Linked DNA regions of Saccharomyces cerevisiae S288C. Changing the gene in region 3 together with the main gene of any one other region gives a genetic interaction. Each region holds a gene or a part of one and is shown on either strand. Other genes may lie near its edges. The genes, in order: DAP1, HEM13 and HEM2.

Region 1 (4,423 bases), on a different chromosome or scaffold from region 3:
CAGAAAATTTCTACGAATATTAATTCTGAAGAAACTTAAACGCGGCTTCAAAAGCTAGAAATCCATGCCCACTTGCCTTTCGTAGAGGATTCTAACGATAAATATACCTACAGATTATACTGTTATATAAGATCATCATTACCCGTCTTCCTTTTTTTTCCAGAAGAAAATTTCAGTAAGAGCTGAATTGAGTATGTAGAAAAAAAAATAGTAACAGACTGTTGAAGACATACTTACTCTAAGAAGGAAGAGTAAAATAAATCGTTAAAAATTCTGCATCGCTAATAGCAGCAAAAAAAATGAGCGGATTTCACAATGTTGGAAATATCAATATGATGGCTCAACAGCAGATGCAACAAAATAGAATAAAGATTAGCGTGAGGAACTGGCAGAATGCAACCATGAACGATTTGATTAATTTTATAAGCCGCAACGCTCGAGTAGCTGTTTATGACGCTCATGTGGAAGGACCTTTAGTTATTGGATATGTCAACTCAAAGGCAGAAGCAGAATCGTTAATGAAATGGAACGGTGTCCGGTTTGCAGGCAGTAATTTAAAGTTCGAACTTTTAGATAACAATGGGGCCTCTGCGGGAACTTCAGACACCATTTCGTTCTTGAGGGGGGTGCTCCTTAAGAGGTATGACCCACAAACAAAATTACTAAATTTGGGCGCTTTACATTCAGATCCCGAGCTAATTCAAAAGGGCGTCTTTAGTTCCATCTCCACCCAGTCTAAGATGTTTCCAGCAATGATGAAACTGGCTTCTACAGAAAAAAGTTTGATAGTGGAAAGTGTCAATCTTGCTGACAACCAACTTAAGGACATCTCAGCAATTTCCACATTGGCTCAAACATTTCCTAATTTGAAAAACCTCTGTCTGGCCAACAATCAGATTTTTAGATTTAGATCGCTAGAAGTTTGGAAGAACAAATTCAAAGATCTAAGAGAGCTTTTGATGACAAATAACCCGATAACCACCGATAAGTTGTATCGCACTGAAATGTTAAGATTATTTCCGAAATTGGTTGTACTAGATAACGTGATTGTGAGAGACGAACAAAAATTGCAAACCGTTTACTCATTACCGATGAAGATTCAACAGTTTTTTTTCGAAAACGATGCATTAGGGCAATCATCTACAGACTTTGCAACTAACTTTTTGAATCTATGGGATAATAATAGAGAACAACTGTTAAATTTGTATTCGCCCCAATCCCAGTTTTCTGTTTCCGTGGATTCTACTATTCCTCCATCTACGGTAACAGATTCGGACCAAACTCCAGCATTTGGTTATTACATGTCGTCCTCACGTAATATATCCAAAGTGTCCAGTGAAAAATCTATCCAGCAGAGATTGTCAATCGGGCAAGAGTCCATTAATAGTATATTCAAGACTTTGCCGAAAACAAAGCACCATTTACAAGAACAACCCAATGAATACTCAATGGAAACAATTAGTTATCCTCAAATAAATGGGTTCGTTATTACGTTGCACGGATTTTTTGAAGAGACTGGCAAGCCTGAACTGGAATCCAATAAAAAAACGGGGAAAAATAACTATCAAAAGAATAGAAGATACAATCATGGTTACAACTCCACATCAAATAATAAGTTATCCAAAAAATCCTTTGATAGAACCTGGGTAATTGTTCCAATGAATAATAGTGTCATAATCGCATCTGATCTGTTAACTGTAAGAGCGTATTCCACAGGCGCTTGGAAAACTGCATCTATTGCAATAGCACAGCCTCCACAGCAACAGGCCTCGGTCCTACCACAGGTCGCAAGCATGAACCCAAATATAACGACACCACCGCAGCCACAACCTTCAGTGGTACCAGGAGGGATGAGCATTCCCGGCGCACCCCAAGGAGCCATGGTCATGGCTCCCACTTTGCAACTACCTCCAGATGTCCAGTCGCGGCTAAATCCCGTACAACTCGAGCTGCTGAATAAACTACATTTGGAAACGAAATTGAATGCAGAATACACGTTTATGTTGGCCGAGCAAAGTAACTGGAACTATGAAGTTGCCATAAAGGGTTTTCAGAGTAGCATGAATGGCATCCCTAGAGAAGCATTTGTGCAGTTCTAATGATATTGTTCCCTGTTTCAGCCGCACAGTATCACAAAAAATATACAGTTTAAGCTACTGTTTTCGTCACGTTCCGAACAGCAGCATGCTTTGTATATTTTGTACTAATTCATAAATAAGTAATTATTTCTATACAACCGTTATATAGAAGATTTTTTCAAAATATAGATATGTATATGTATACATATATCATCGTCCACCACGCCCCTTCCTTTTTCCCTTTCCTTGGTGTTTGCTATTAATAAATAATGTGCGGAGCTCAATCGTCATACGTTCACGCCAGGCTCCGGAATCAGAGTACCAATGCATGGGTACTTATTCTCAAAATGCTCTTGCCACTCATCCAGTGCGTCAATCTGTTCTTTTGTCAGATCATCTAAGGGATCGATAGGCTGATCCCAATCTTTAATAACGTCCAGATCGAAGGAGTTCAATGCAAGACCACGCGACGCATCATGGCCTGCAAAGTTAGTGTATGGCCCGCTTGGACCGTAAAACTGCCTCCCTCTTGTGCAGTCGTATACTTTGCCCCTAATAGCAATAAATATTTTTTCATCGTCGTGGCCGTTAAATTTGGAAAGCGTCCTAGGAAAGAAATTACCCGCTACTACCGGTTCACTACCTTTATTAGAATCGTTTGTGTTTGAGGCCCCGTTACCTGTGAGCCCGGTTGGATCCTCACTTGTTTTAACACCTCCAAATAACAAGTTTTTAATGAAGGACATTTGTTCTCTATAATATTCCGATGTACGTGTGTGTGGCTGATGAGATTTAGACTGGTTAGACTATTTGACGCGTCTATTATAGCTTACTGCAACAAGAAAATGATCGTTGATATATAAACTCTCAGATGTATATATCGTTCTGGAAACATCGAGCATAATACAATACAATTCAACAAAAATGCGAGAAGGCACTGATGTCTTGTCGTTAAAGAACCAAAAACGCGGACACTACGACCGTCTTATTTCCGGTAGAAAAAGGGTACATACAGTTGAAGGAACGAAGAAAATTAAAATTAGAAAAAAAAGTAAAATAAAACAAGGAAGGTAGGGTAATATGGTCTCGTTTCCTTTGTCGCTCCGCAAATAAAGGAGCTTATTCCCGCACGCTCACATGGTAATTTGCGCCAAATCACGGATGTGGAAAACTGATCACGTGCTTCGATCGCCAACTACTGAGCGTCGTCCCACACTGATCTGGCACAGCTTACCTCGCCTTGAAAATTTTAATCTGTCCTGCTCGTTTGTTGTATATTGCTTCTTCTCAGAATATGCCCGCGATAACTGACAAAGAGGGTTCGACGTTTCAGAGATTCTACTCTTGACCACTGTTTCGTGTAGCCGCTCAAGGTTTATTTCTTTCTTCTTTAATGTTCTTGGCACTTAGGCGGCTCCGTCCTCCGTCTGAAATTGCCGATCCTATTATTTGCGGAGGGCTCCTTAGAAGGGCTCCTTAGTAAGCAGTTTGCGTTCCTGATATAACTCCGTTCAGAACAAGGATAAAGTCGCAATAACCATTACTAAGCACAGTGTTGTAAGTAGGACAACTCGAACCTATATAAGGGTTGTGAACTGTGCTTGATTCTTGCCCATCATATGCAAAAAAGTACGTACTTGATATATACAACAACTGTAGTTCAGTATAGCGAAGTTTAAATTTAGAAGATGCCATTTGTAAAAGGTTTTGAGCCGATCTCCCTAAGAGACACAAACCTTTTTGAACCAATTAAGATTGGTAACACTCAGCTTGCACATCGTGCGGTTATGCCCCCATTGACCAGAATGAGGGCCACTCACCCCGGAAATATTCCAAATAAGGAGTGGGCTGCTGTGTATTATGGTCAGCGTGCTCAAAGACCTGGTACCATGATCATCACGGAAGGTACGTTTATTTCCCCTCAAGCCGGCGGCTATGACAACGCCCCTGGGATTTGGTCTGATGAGCAGGTCGCTGAGTGGAAGAATATCTTTTTAGCCATCCATGATTGTCAGTCGTTCGCGTGGGTACAACTTTGGTCTTTAGGCTGGGCATCCTTCCCAGACGTATTGGCAAGAGACGGGTTACGCTATGACTGTGCATCTGACAGAGTGTATATGAATGCTACGTTACAAGAAAAGGCCAAAGATGCGAATAATCTCGAACATAGTTTGACTAAAGACGACATTAAACAGTATATCAAGGATTACATCCATGCGGCTAAGAATTCTATCGCGGCTGGCGCCGATGGTGTAGAAATTCATAGCGCCAATGGGTACTTGTTGAATCAGTTCTTGGATCCACATTCTAATAAGAGGACCGACGAATACGGCGGAACGATCGAA
Region 2 (5,347 bases), on a different chromosome or scaffold from region 3:
GTAACAATATGCTACTGATAACGAGTGGCGATAGTGGTGTATATACATTAGCATGCCGTTCATGTCCATATGAGTTTCCTATAGAGGGTATAGAAATCTATGATAGGAAGAAACTTCCAAGAAAGGAAGTTGATGATGTTCTTGGTGGTGGTTGGGACAATGTGGATCAAACCAAAACCCAATGTCCCAATTATGATACTTGTGGTGGTGAGAGTGCTTACTTTTTCCAACTACAAATTAGGTCAGCTGATGAGCCGATGACTACCTTTTATAAGTGTGTAAACTGTGGTCATAGATGGAAGGAAAATTAAGAAGTCCTTGAATATAAGATGAATTTTCTAAGAATAAAAAGAGTAATAAAAACATCTTAAAATTTGATTAGAAGGCATGATCGCATATTGAGAATGAAGGCTGCTGCCATATTTTTAGAGCAATAGATACTGATATAATTTTTGATCCTGCACGTACTGTGAACTTGCATCATAAATAGGACGCAATAATTAATATTTTTAAGAATAGAGATCCTGTATCAATTGAATTTGAAGAATTATGTAAAGGAGGTATAATAAATAGATAAAAAAATGTATAAATAAGTGGTCGAAATAATTAAATCATCATTGTCATTGAGATCATAAAATCGGTCTGCTAAAGAACCTTGAATTATTTAACCCACTCTCTTGGTTTGGTGGTAACTTCTAGTAATTTAGCTTCTCTGGAACCAGGAGCAGGGTGGTGGTTGTATAACCATGAAGCATGTTCAGGCAAACTCATCAAAATTGACTCAACTCTAGAGCCTGGGGTTCTCAAACCGAATTGGGTACCTCTATCGTAGATTAAGTTGAATTCAACGTATCTACCACGTCTAATGGCCTGCCATTGTTGTTCTTCCTTTGTATATGGCATATCTTTTCTTCTCTTGACGATAGTCAAGTAGGATGGCAAGAAAGCATCGAAACAGTCTTCAACCATCTTCAATATTTCTTGTGGGTCACGTTCATCATAATCGTCAAAGAATATACCACCAATACCACGTGTTTCCTTACGGTGGGTAATGTAGAAGTACTCATCACACCATTTCTTGAAACGTGGGTACAAAGCAGTGTCGTGCTTGTCCAAGGCATCCTTGTGCAGTTGGTGGAATAATTGACCGTCTTCTTCGTATAAGTAAGAAGGTGTCAAATCAGCACCACCACCAAACCACCAAGTTTGTGGGGTCCCATCTTGGTTCCAAGTTTCGAAGTAACGGTAGTTTAAGTGCGTGGTTGGAGCGTGTGGGTTAACGGGATGAATGACCATACTTAAACCACAAGCGAAGAACTTGACACCGTCGGTAACTGGCAAACCAGTCTTTGGATCTTCTGGTAGACGCAGATTCTTATGATCAGCTTTCATGGCTGAAACGGCCGCTGGGCTCAATTGACCATAAACAACGGAGACATTAACACCACCTTTTTCGAAAGTTGTACCGTCTTGGATAACCATAGAGGTACCACCACCACCATCGTTACCACGGGTCCAAGTATCAGCGTGGAACTTAACAGTATCGATGGATTCCAAACCTTGCGTGATTTCAGCTTGTTTGCGACGGATAAGAGCTTCCATTTGTTGTCTAATTGGAAGATTCCTTGGATCTTGAGGGGCAGGCATCTTTATGTGTATTTAATTGTGTTCGAAGAGTTCGGTTTGCTATGTTTGATTTGCGAAAAGAAAGCTTTTGATATGCTCAAAAAAAGAAAACCCGGAGAATAAAAGCTTAACAAAGAAAGACAATAGGTGGAAAAAAAAAGGAAAATCCGTGTCCTTATATAGCCTTTCGAAACGAGAACAATGGGCAAAGCAAGCTTTATCTTCGGATCGTCCGTCAGCGCTTTGGTTGCAGTCTTATGCTTTGTTCAAGCTGGAGCGTTATTGGTGGGAGAACCAGAAAAGGCGAAAGCGTAGCGTTCTTTGAAATTTGGCTTCTGTTCCTGCGACTCGTTTAAAAGTAGAAGGGCCCGCGGAGCCGCTGTGAAAGATTTCTTTTACTCTTTCAGCGCAGAAATCTCGCAGGAGCTCAGCAGAAAGTGCCTATGACGGTAATCCCAGGGGCTAATGGTGTGAAGGCACTTTCTAAACAATTGAAATTAAAATACCGTGCCTATAGTAACTTTTTTTTACGCTGTGAACCGTTCAACACACAGTAAAAACTCCGCAGGAAATGGTTTGAAGAATCTTAATCACGAATTAGGCGTATTGTTTTTCCCAACAGTGAACGAGAGGACAAACTCCAGAGGATTTGCGGGCTTGATGATAAAATGTATTGTTGAAAAGATCGCGAATGCAACAATTACGGTGGGGAGAAATATCAACAAAAGGGCAAGGCTATGCCTTCTGGAAAGTGGCAGACTTGCACTTTCCTCGAAAAGAAAAATGACCGCAAGATCCGGTTGTTCTCAACCTTCTACATTAAGACATACTTCTACGATTTTCGAATGCCGAAGCAACTATCGCTGAAATTTGTCATGTCAAAATTGCTACTGGGGGAGAAGAATATATATGGAAGTAATTATTATTTACGTTGCTGAAATGGCAGGTTAGACGCATGTTTTGCAAAATAAGTGGTTTTGAAAAGAATTGATACTAGGAATCGGTGCAATACCTTCTACCTTTCTTAATAGGTATTCTTGAATAATCTACCTCACTTTCTGTCCCAGATACGAGATGTCGAGCGCCTCGAAAATAGATATCGTTTATTACGTTAGATACGGAAAGGTCTACGTGTCATAATAAATTGCATCTGGATTGCGATTTTGGGTCATGCCTAACTGGGAAAATATTTACATCTCCATGTTCTCATTCTGCCTTTGCTTTCCTTCAAAACATGGTTTTCAATTCAACCTAGGGTCTACCGCGGAACCATATGTACGCCGTAAATGCGAGTGTTCTTGAAAGGTAGTAATGTGTTCCCTCTCAATATGTAAGTCCTTCAAGAGTATGCACTTGCAGTTGCACTGTTTCGGGTAATTATCCGTCATTAAGAAAAAGATGCTTCCACTTTCTCGTGTTTTTACGCACAATCGTGCCATTTAACCGGAAATAGACTCCATTGCATTGATTGCTCTCATAAAAATTATAGCCCGCGTTTGATACTTGTTTAAAATAGGTGTCGACAAAGTTAGTTTCTGTCTTCCATTTAGTTTTTACAATATGACACGTCAAATAAATCTTTTCGATTTAGTTAAAAGAGTTACCTGGCGATAGCCTTCTGGTAAAACACCTATTCATAAAACAATCTTAAAAAACCAAAAAATTACCAAACAACTATGTAGGACATATTTTTACAGTTCATAAAAACGCTTCGAGCTGCCGATATCGGTATCAAACACCAAAATATACATAGTGCTGGTTTAAGCCAGAATATCTTGGTGAAGCTGCGCCTATATGCCTTGTATTTAAAACAAGTCACGAAAAGCTATTGCCAAAGGAACATAAAAACTCGTATCTATGTTATATTATAAAAAAGATATAATATTTATATATTATTATTAATATTATTTTTTAGTTCCGAAAGGAGAAACTTATAATTTTTATATCATTATTTATTATTATTTTTAATTTCAACTCCTTTTATACCTATTACTGCATGTGGAGAAAAGATTAAACCAGGCGAGGCAATTTACACTTATTCATTGAGATAAGATGAAAGAGCCACGCCTCGTTACATTTAGGCTACATCATATAACAACTAGTCCCAGCCTCCCCCCTTCCCCACCTTGGAGTACTTTTCTCCAGAAATAGAAAGCTAAGAATCAAAATCGCACCATTACGTATGAGCTCATTTGCCGTCTTTTCCCCGACAATCCGGCACAAAATCTGGCTACCCGTCGTATGTATGGTAGACGATATTATGTACTCTAGTAATGCTATGTACGAATAGTTTCAGACGGGCACAGGGACCTAGAACGCCAAGCGCAAAAAAAAGCTGATAGGAATTCGACGTCACGAACCCTTGGAGTAAAAGAAAACTAAAATATACGAACTTCGCGGAAAATAAAAAACTTTTCCTTCAGTTGTTCCTCGTTCGAAACAGTAATCTACACGGACCGTTGCTTATTTTTAGCCAGATTCTAGTTAAATAAAAAAAAAAGAAATAAAATTAAAAAAAAATTAAACTGTGGCAGATAAGCCTTTCTAATCGAGGCAGTGTGTTTCTTTTGACTTCACCGTTTGTCTTCGCATAGTTCCCCTAAATATTCTAACTAGAAAAATCGCTAGTATTTTTCTACTTATAAGTTGATTTTCCGCATATTTGTCTTTGAAACGTTTGAGACAGGGAAAACTCTGTTTTCTAAAAGAGGAAAAAGCAAAATGAAGTATTGGCTTGGTTGCGGTCAACACCCTCAGGGAAAGCCAAGAAATGCTTTTTACTGTTTAGCAGTGAAAAGGCCGCACCGGAAAAGAAGGGAAAAATTCATTGGGTCTAGATTTTTCTTATCGGTAAAAGACTATGGCCTCTTGAGGACCCTTAAGCGTGAAACGAAACGCGTTGAGCGCGCAGAGGGGCTTCGCCGCCGGTCAGGGTGTTTGGGGTGTTTTTTCTTTTAATTATTCTCTTGGCAGTGTCATCTTTCTACAGTCTGGCTGCAGGCTCCTTTTCCGTTATTCATATATAAGGAAGAGAACTTTCCAAACCCAAATTAAAAAAAATTTGGTTCCCATCTCTTAACTAAAAGAAATTATATTACTCCACCTCGTTTACAGTTTTTTGATGCTATAAGGGAATTCTGCAGCTTTTGAAAGTAAAAATCATATCGTATACGATTCTGCAAAGTATTATTGTACTGTAATTCCTACCATTACGGCGCCTTTTTCTACCATTCACCTTTCTTGGATTGTTCCTCTCGACCAGCATATTACTACCCTTCGCAAACTTTCAGGCAATGTTTTACCCATATAACTATAGTAACCTCAATGTTTCTACTATGCCCGCACTGCCGGGAATCTCCGCATTTGATGGAATGCAAGATGAAGAAAACGTTGAAATAAGCCCGGAAAGAAAATATCAGACGCTACTACCAGTTCTAACTAATTCTCATGTGGTAGAGAATGAACTAAAACACAAATTAAATAAGACTGCTTTTGATTTCCGATACCAAACCAAATCAGAAAATGGCTCTGAAAAGTGGGAGCCAAAATACTTAATAACGCCTAATTTACAAACAAGAAGCGTCTCTTTTGACAATTCATCGGTACAATATAATTCAGATTCATCCGAAAAAAGCTCGCTATCACAACTAACTTGTAATTCATCAATAATACAACAGCCTGAGAACGGAATAGTTTCTAATGATGCATATAATAAGATGGC
Region 3 (5,362 bases):
GTAGGTGAGTCCGTGAATGGTGTTCAACAGCCGGCCTCCTCCCAGTCAGATGCCATGAAACAAGACAAGTACGTCAGCACTAAACCAAGAAATAGTAAGAACGATGGTGTGGATACAGCTATATACCACCACAAATTACGTGATCAGGTACTAAAAGCACTCTACGACGTTTTGGCCAAGGAAAGTGAGCATCCACCTCAATCTATTTTGCATACTGCAAAGGCCATAGAAAGTGAAATGAATAAAGTTAACAACTGTGACACCAACGAAGCCGCTTACAAAGCCAGGTATCGTATAATTTATTCAAACGTCATATCAAAGAATAACCCAGATCTCAAACATAAAATTGCCAACGGTGATATAACACCTGAATTCTTAGCTACATGCGATGCCAAGGATCTGGCACCAGCGCCCTTAAAGCAAAAGATAGAAGAAATTGCCAAGCAAAACTTATACAACGCACAGGGTGCCACCATAGAAAGGTCAGTCACCGATAGATTTACATGTGGTAAATGTAAAGAGAAGAAGGTATCTTACTATCAATTGCAAACAAGATCTGCGGATGAACCATTGACCACTTTCTGTACATGTGAAGCATGTGGTAACAGATGGAAATTCTCTTAGAATAGAAAAAGATGAGAGTAGCCACGGACAGAGCAAAGGAAACAATAGGAGGAAGGGACAGAAAAGCCTGTTCTGACTCTATTCGTAGTAGTATTTGACAGCCGGAATCCAGGAAAAGAAAAAGCCAAACATACAACCATATCCAATTTGTTGAAATGGCATATTCATATACGATGTACATATATACATATACTGCTGGTGTTAATTTTTTTTGTCTGTCTCACGTAAAATCTTTTGTTCGTCCAGTTACTTTTAATTATTTATGATTTTCATGTTTTCTTTATTAATCTTCTATGCATTAAATATGGCTCGGTCAGAACTAAAGAAATACAATTTAAGATGTAACAAAACCGACGAATAAAAAGTTAGAATAAACACAAGAAGCAGAAAGTAGATACTACAGCCACACATAATGCTAAGAGTTATATGGAAGCATAGTTCCAGAGTCACTCGTTCGATAGAACTATCGAACATTTCTACCACTAATCACACCAGGAGTTTAAGGAGGCTTTCCTGGATTTCTCCGAGAAGATTTTACGCTCAATCTTGGGACGACAGACAGCCTAATGACAAAATAGATGCACACATAAAGGTGCAGAAACTCATGGATCAAATAAATTCGAGGCCTAATGTTCTGGAAAAGTTAGAAAAGGTTAGCAATATCATGATCGAAAAAAAATTGGTTAATCTAGATGGGACTTCTGCCAATGAAGAAAATACGATGAAACCATGGCAAATGATTAAGATCTTAATGGACAGAGATCTGAGACACGCTATGAAGGAATTTAAATTGGAATTGGAAAAATCTGGCATACAGTTAGGACCTGAACAACTGGCCCCGCTAATGACCGTTTTAGGCCTTGAGAAGAAAAAATGAGAGGTGAAAGTAAAAAAACATTACCTATCTGTCTTACTAGCGCCTTCCGTGTATAAATATTACGTACTACTACATAAATACTCATTAGGAGGATTACATAATTTCCATTGTATCGTATACTAGGTCGCATCTTTGCATATTATAAAGCTTGCCAAATAGGGATATACTGCCAGCACTGTTACATTTGTCATATTGACATCATTATTTTTACTATTCACAAGGTAAGCACGTTTTTTTTTAGTTTTCTTCATCTAACCAGTCTAGGAACTCAGGAGCCAAATAAGTGATGATTAATCTGGCACCCGCCCTCAAGAAACCTTGATGAGATTCAAAGGCAATTGTCTTCAAATCAACAACACCTTTTTCAGCTGCAGCATGTAACATTGCGTATTCGCCCGACACGTGATATGCGCAGATTGGTAAGTCTTTACAAATTTCACTTGCATCCCTCATTATATCTAAGTAGAAAGTGGAAGGCTTAACAATAATACCGTCGGCACCTTCACTCATATCCCTTTCCAACGCCCTACGTGCCAGGCCACGACCGGCAGGAGGTAATTGGTAACATTTCCTATCACCATTCGAAGGAGCTGAACAAGCAGCATCACGGAATGGCCCATATAGATTACCGCTAAACTTAGCTGCATAGGATAACACGAAGGTCTTGTGAGCCAAGTTTGCATTTATTAAGCCTCGTTTAATATCTCTGATCCTACCATCGATCATATCACTGGGAGCCACACAGTGCGCACCAGCTTTAGCGTAGTTAACTGCCACAGCTGCTAATCTAGAGACACTACGTTCTCTATTAATAGTACCATCATCGTATAGAACCCCGCAATGGCCATGAGAAGTGTATTCACAGAGACAGACATCGCAAATAATATACAGTTCAGGGAAATACTCACGAATGAATTTAATACCTTGAATGACTGGCCCTGCAGGATCGTCAGCCGCTGTACCCACTGGATCCTTGGTACCAGGGATGAGAGGCACACCAAACAAGATCACAGAACGCAAACCCTTGGCCACTAATGGCTTTAAGTAGTCTTTTAGCCTATTTACACCGATTCTATTGATATTAGGTAGAGAGTCAATTTCAGTAAAGTCATCTGGATTATCGGAGATGAATAGCGGAAAAATCAACATGTTCTTAGTCAGTTGACGCTCACTTTGCCACTGTCTCAGCAGTGGGTGATTATAACCACCTGCTAGAACAGATGAGATTTCTGTTGGTTCTGTTTCCAAAAATTCAGCTGTATGCATGGTTTTGTCAATTTTCTAGGTATGAATTACTGGAGTAAGCAATAATATGAGTAAGCAGTAAAACTTTTTTTTATTTGGCTGATTGGGCAAGAAAATCAAAGACAATAGAGTGGCGCATAGATGTTGCTAGCATTTATTAGGTTGCCTTACTCTTATATAAATCAAGCGGGAAGCTTGCCTCAAGCCAATCACCGCACCGAACAGGGATTGCTCGTTTACCCGTATTTTGATTTTTTTTTCACCTTTTCCAATTTTTTTTTCGGCAACAATTTTTTGGATGATTTTTATCGTCGATCTTGGAATGATGATGTATTTCGGCGTCTCTACAAGACCCAATAAAGTAATTCGGTGACACAGGCTTGTAGCAGATAGAAAACGTTCCGAAAGATGGGTTCCAATTGATGTAACACTTCTTTTTTATATATTCATGTGGACGTGTACGCCTTCTTCCCTTCTTTGCCTCTTGTGCCACTGTTAATCCTCTTAAGCATATTGTTTTTATTTACAGACATTGGCTGACTCACCAGAAACTATAATTGACGCTGATTTCTAGTTAATTAAAAATAAAATATATGCAAGAATTAGCACCAGGCAGTCATTTCTGTAAATTGCTTTGTTTTCTATTTCAAATTTGTTTTTTGTATATGTTTCAATGTTCTCGTGACAATGCAGGCTTTTTTTTGTGCGAATTAAAGTAAAGCTAATCAAAACTAAACAATAATTTATCTTGTTCCCGAAAGAGTGGATCATGAGGAGGAAAGCTAACCGTCCAAGATCCTATATAATTTTTGAACTGAAAACCAACTGTTCACCTAGAAGACAGGTATCTGGATATGTAACTACACGCTCTATAAATACAGAAATCGTAAGCTAATCAATATAAATGTAAAAGAAAATAGGAATTGCTGTCGATAGATTTATTTACTTTTGTATTGTCATCTGTGTTCTGTGCCAGTACACCGGACTCGTATGAGCTGTATGGTGTCGTTTCAATAGAATCTACTGTAATAATCACACAGATTAGAAATTATTTTCAAGATTAAATATGACAATACACCTTGGAATAAAAACACAGGATCTAATAGTGGCCCAAAATGAAGCTCGACGTGAAAATAATAGAGCCGTGATTTTAATTTCATGATTGGAAGACGTTTTCAAGGATGGTTAGACTTTGGGTCTGAAAGCACTGTCTCGTAGTCCATATATAAAGAAAATCTTATGGGAAACTGGTTACATTCTAATGATTTTAGCAACAAGTTGCAGCTAAGAGTTTGAATATCTGAACGAAGTTGTCGGTACTTCTGCCACTATCAGTATAAATAATTGCCGCCGTTCCATGATATGGAGAGCATGGCAAGGTTTACTCTGATCTTGGCCATTCTTCATTAATTTGTCGTGTGAAATGCGCAGTAATCAACCAATTTTCTGTCAGCGGTATTTGAAGCCCTAAGATGACACAAATGAGAAAGCGTTTTCTCAACTAGTAATGCCAAATTCCTCCCTTCTATAAAAAGCCCCTAACTCCGCTGCATTCAATTGCATTTTTCATTAAAAGAATACCTTGAATAAAACCATGCGGGAACATATAGATATATAAAGCAGAACATTTTTGCTCAAGAACAGAAAGTTCCAATGGTTATCTATAGGTTCCGTTTCAGCTTTACGTACCTCCCAGTCAAGGTACGATTCAAAGCCTTTTAATTTTTTATCCCAAATAGAGCACGATGTCGCAATCTTCTGAGTGTTAAACTGTCGCCAAATCTGTATTTGGGTATAGCCATTTCTTCCAAAATTGCTAGGAATGGCCTTATAAGCTATATTGTGCTTGTGCTTGCGTTTGCGTTTGCATTTTTTTTTTTGTTATTTTATTACTTCGTCACAAGGGGTACAAGAGAACTCTTATCCAACTGACCACAGCTTTGTCACTAATTTCTCTCCAGAGGGGAATGTCCCTTTGAGATTATCGAACAGGAATGATTGGATCTATTGCACTAAAATGACCCAAAAACGCTCTAGTCCATGCTGCATCCTATCTTCCATCAATACAGAAAATAACAGAAGGTTCATCAGCTCATATATAGAGAAGAAAGAAAAGAAAGAAAAAAAACTCTGTGTAGTGTAATACAACTGACTAACGCACCCACCGAAAGAGGGTCCACGAGGAATAGACAGTGCATTATACAGAACGTGCTGAAAATGTAGAACCTTCCTTGTGAATTTTACTCCTTGTACTTCCTGAGATAATATATGACCTTCTGAAAGGTAAAAGAGCGACCTTGATCCTGCAAATTTAGCGAATATTTGAATCGATTTTCATATTTTTTCTATATTAAAGCCCAACTACTGGGACCGAATATTTTCCCCTACAAAGGCTAGAAGACGGTGAAGCCTTCTTGTAATTTTTATTTCGTTTTAGTTTAGTTACAAAGTGCTTTTGCCATTGCATAGACGAGCAGCTTATCCCATAATGAATAAATTCTATTCAAACTAATAATAACTAATAGTTGCTATAGTCACACCTTTTCAACAGATAAGTGGTTGTTTGGCCGAGCGGTCTAAGGCGCCTGATTCAAGAAATATCTTGACCGCAGTTAA

The links.
Region 1: of HEM2 (region 3) and DAP1, extra expression of one rescues a mutant of the other (dosage rescue), as found in Saccharomyces cerevisiae (one study listed by BioGRID).
Region 2: of HEM2 (region 3) and HEM13, changing one enhances a phenotype caused by changing the other (phenotypic enhancement), as found in Saccharomyces cerevisiae (one study listed by BioGRID).

Annotation. Positions count from the first base shown.
Region 1 is NC_001148.4:226,715-231,137, reverse strand, and holds DAP1 (Dap1p), read right to left. Parts: upstream 2,825-4,423; coding exon 2,366-2,824; downstream 1-2,365. Other genes in the region: MEX67 (Mex67p), read left to right, coding at 300-2,099; OYE3 (NADPH dehydrogenase), read left to right, coding at 3,767-4,423.
Region 2 is NC_001136.10:542,942-548,288, reverse strand, and holds HEM13 (coproporphyrinogen oxidase), read right to left. Parts: upstream 1,648-5,347; coding exon 661-1,647; downstream 1-660. Other genes in the region: DNA-directed RNA polymerase III core subunit RPC11, read left to right, coding at 1-311; transcriptional regulator NRG1, read left to right, coding at 4,920-5,347.
Region 3 is NC_001139.9:417,789-423,150, forward strand, and holds HEM2 (porphobilinogen synthase HEM2), read right to left. Parts: upstream 2,768-5,362; coding exon 1,739-2,767; downstream 1-1,738. Other genes in the region: transcription elongation factor DST1, read left to right, coding at 1-624; YGL041C-B (uncharacterized protein), read right to left, coding at 916-1,098; DPC13 (Dpc13p), read left to right, coding at 1,037-1,501. UniProt on the Saccharomyces cerevisiae protein: Catalyzes an early step in the biosynthesis of tetrapyrroles. Binds two molecules of 5-aminolevulinate per subunit, each at a distinct site, and catalyzes their condensation to form porphobilinogen.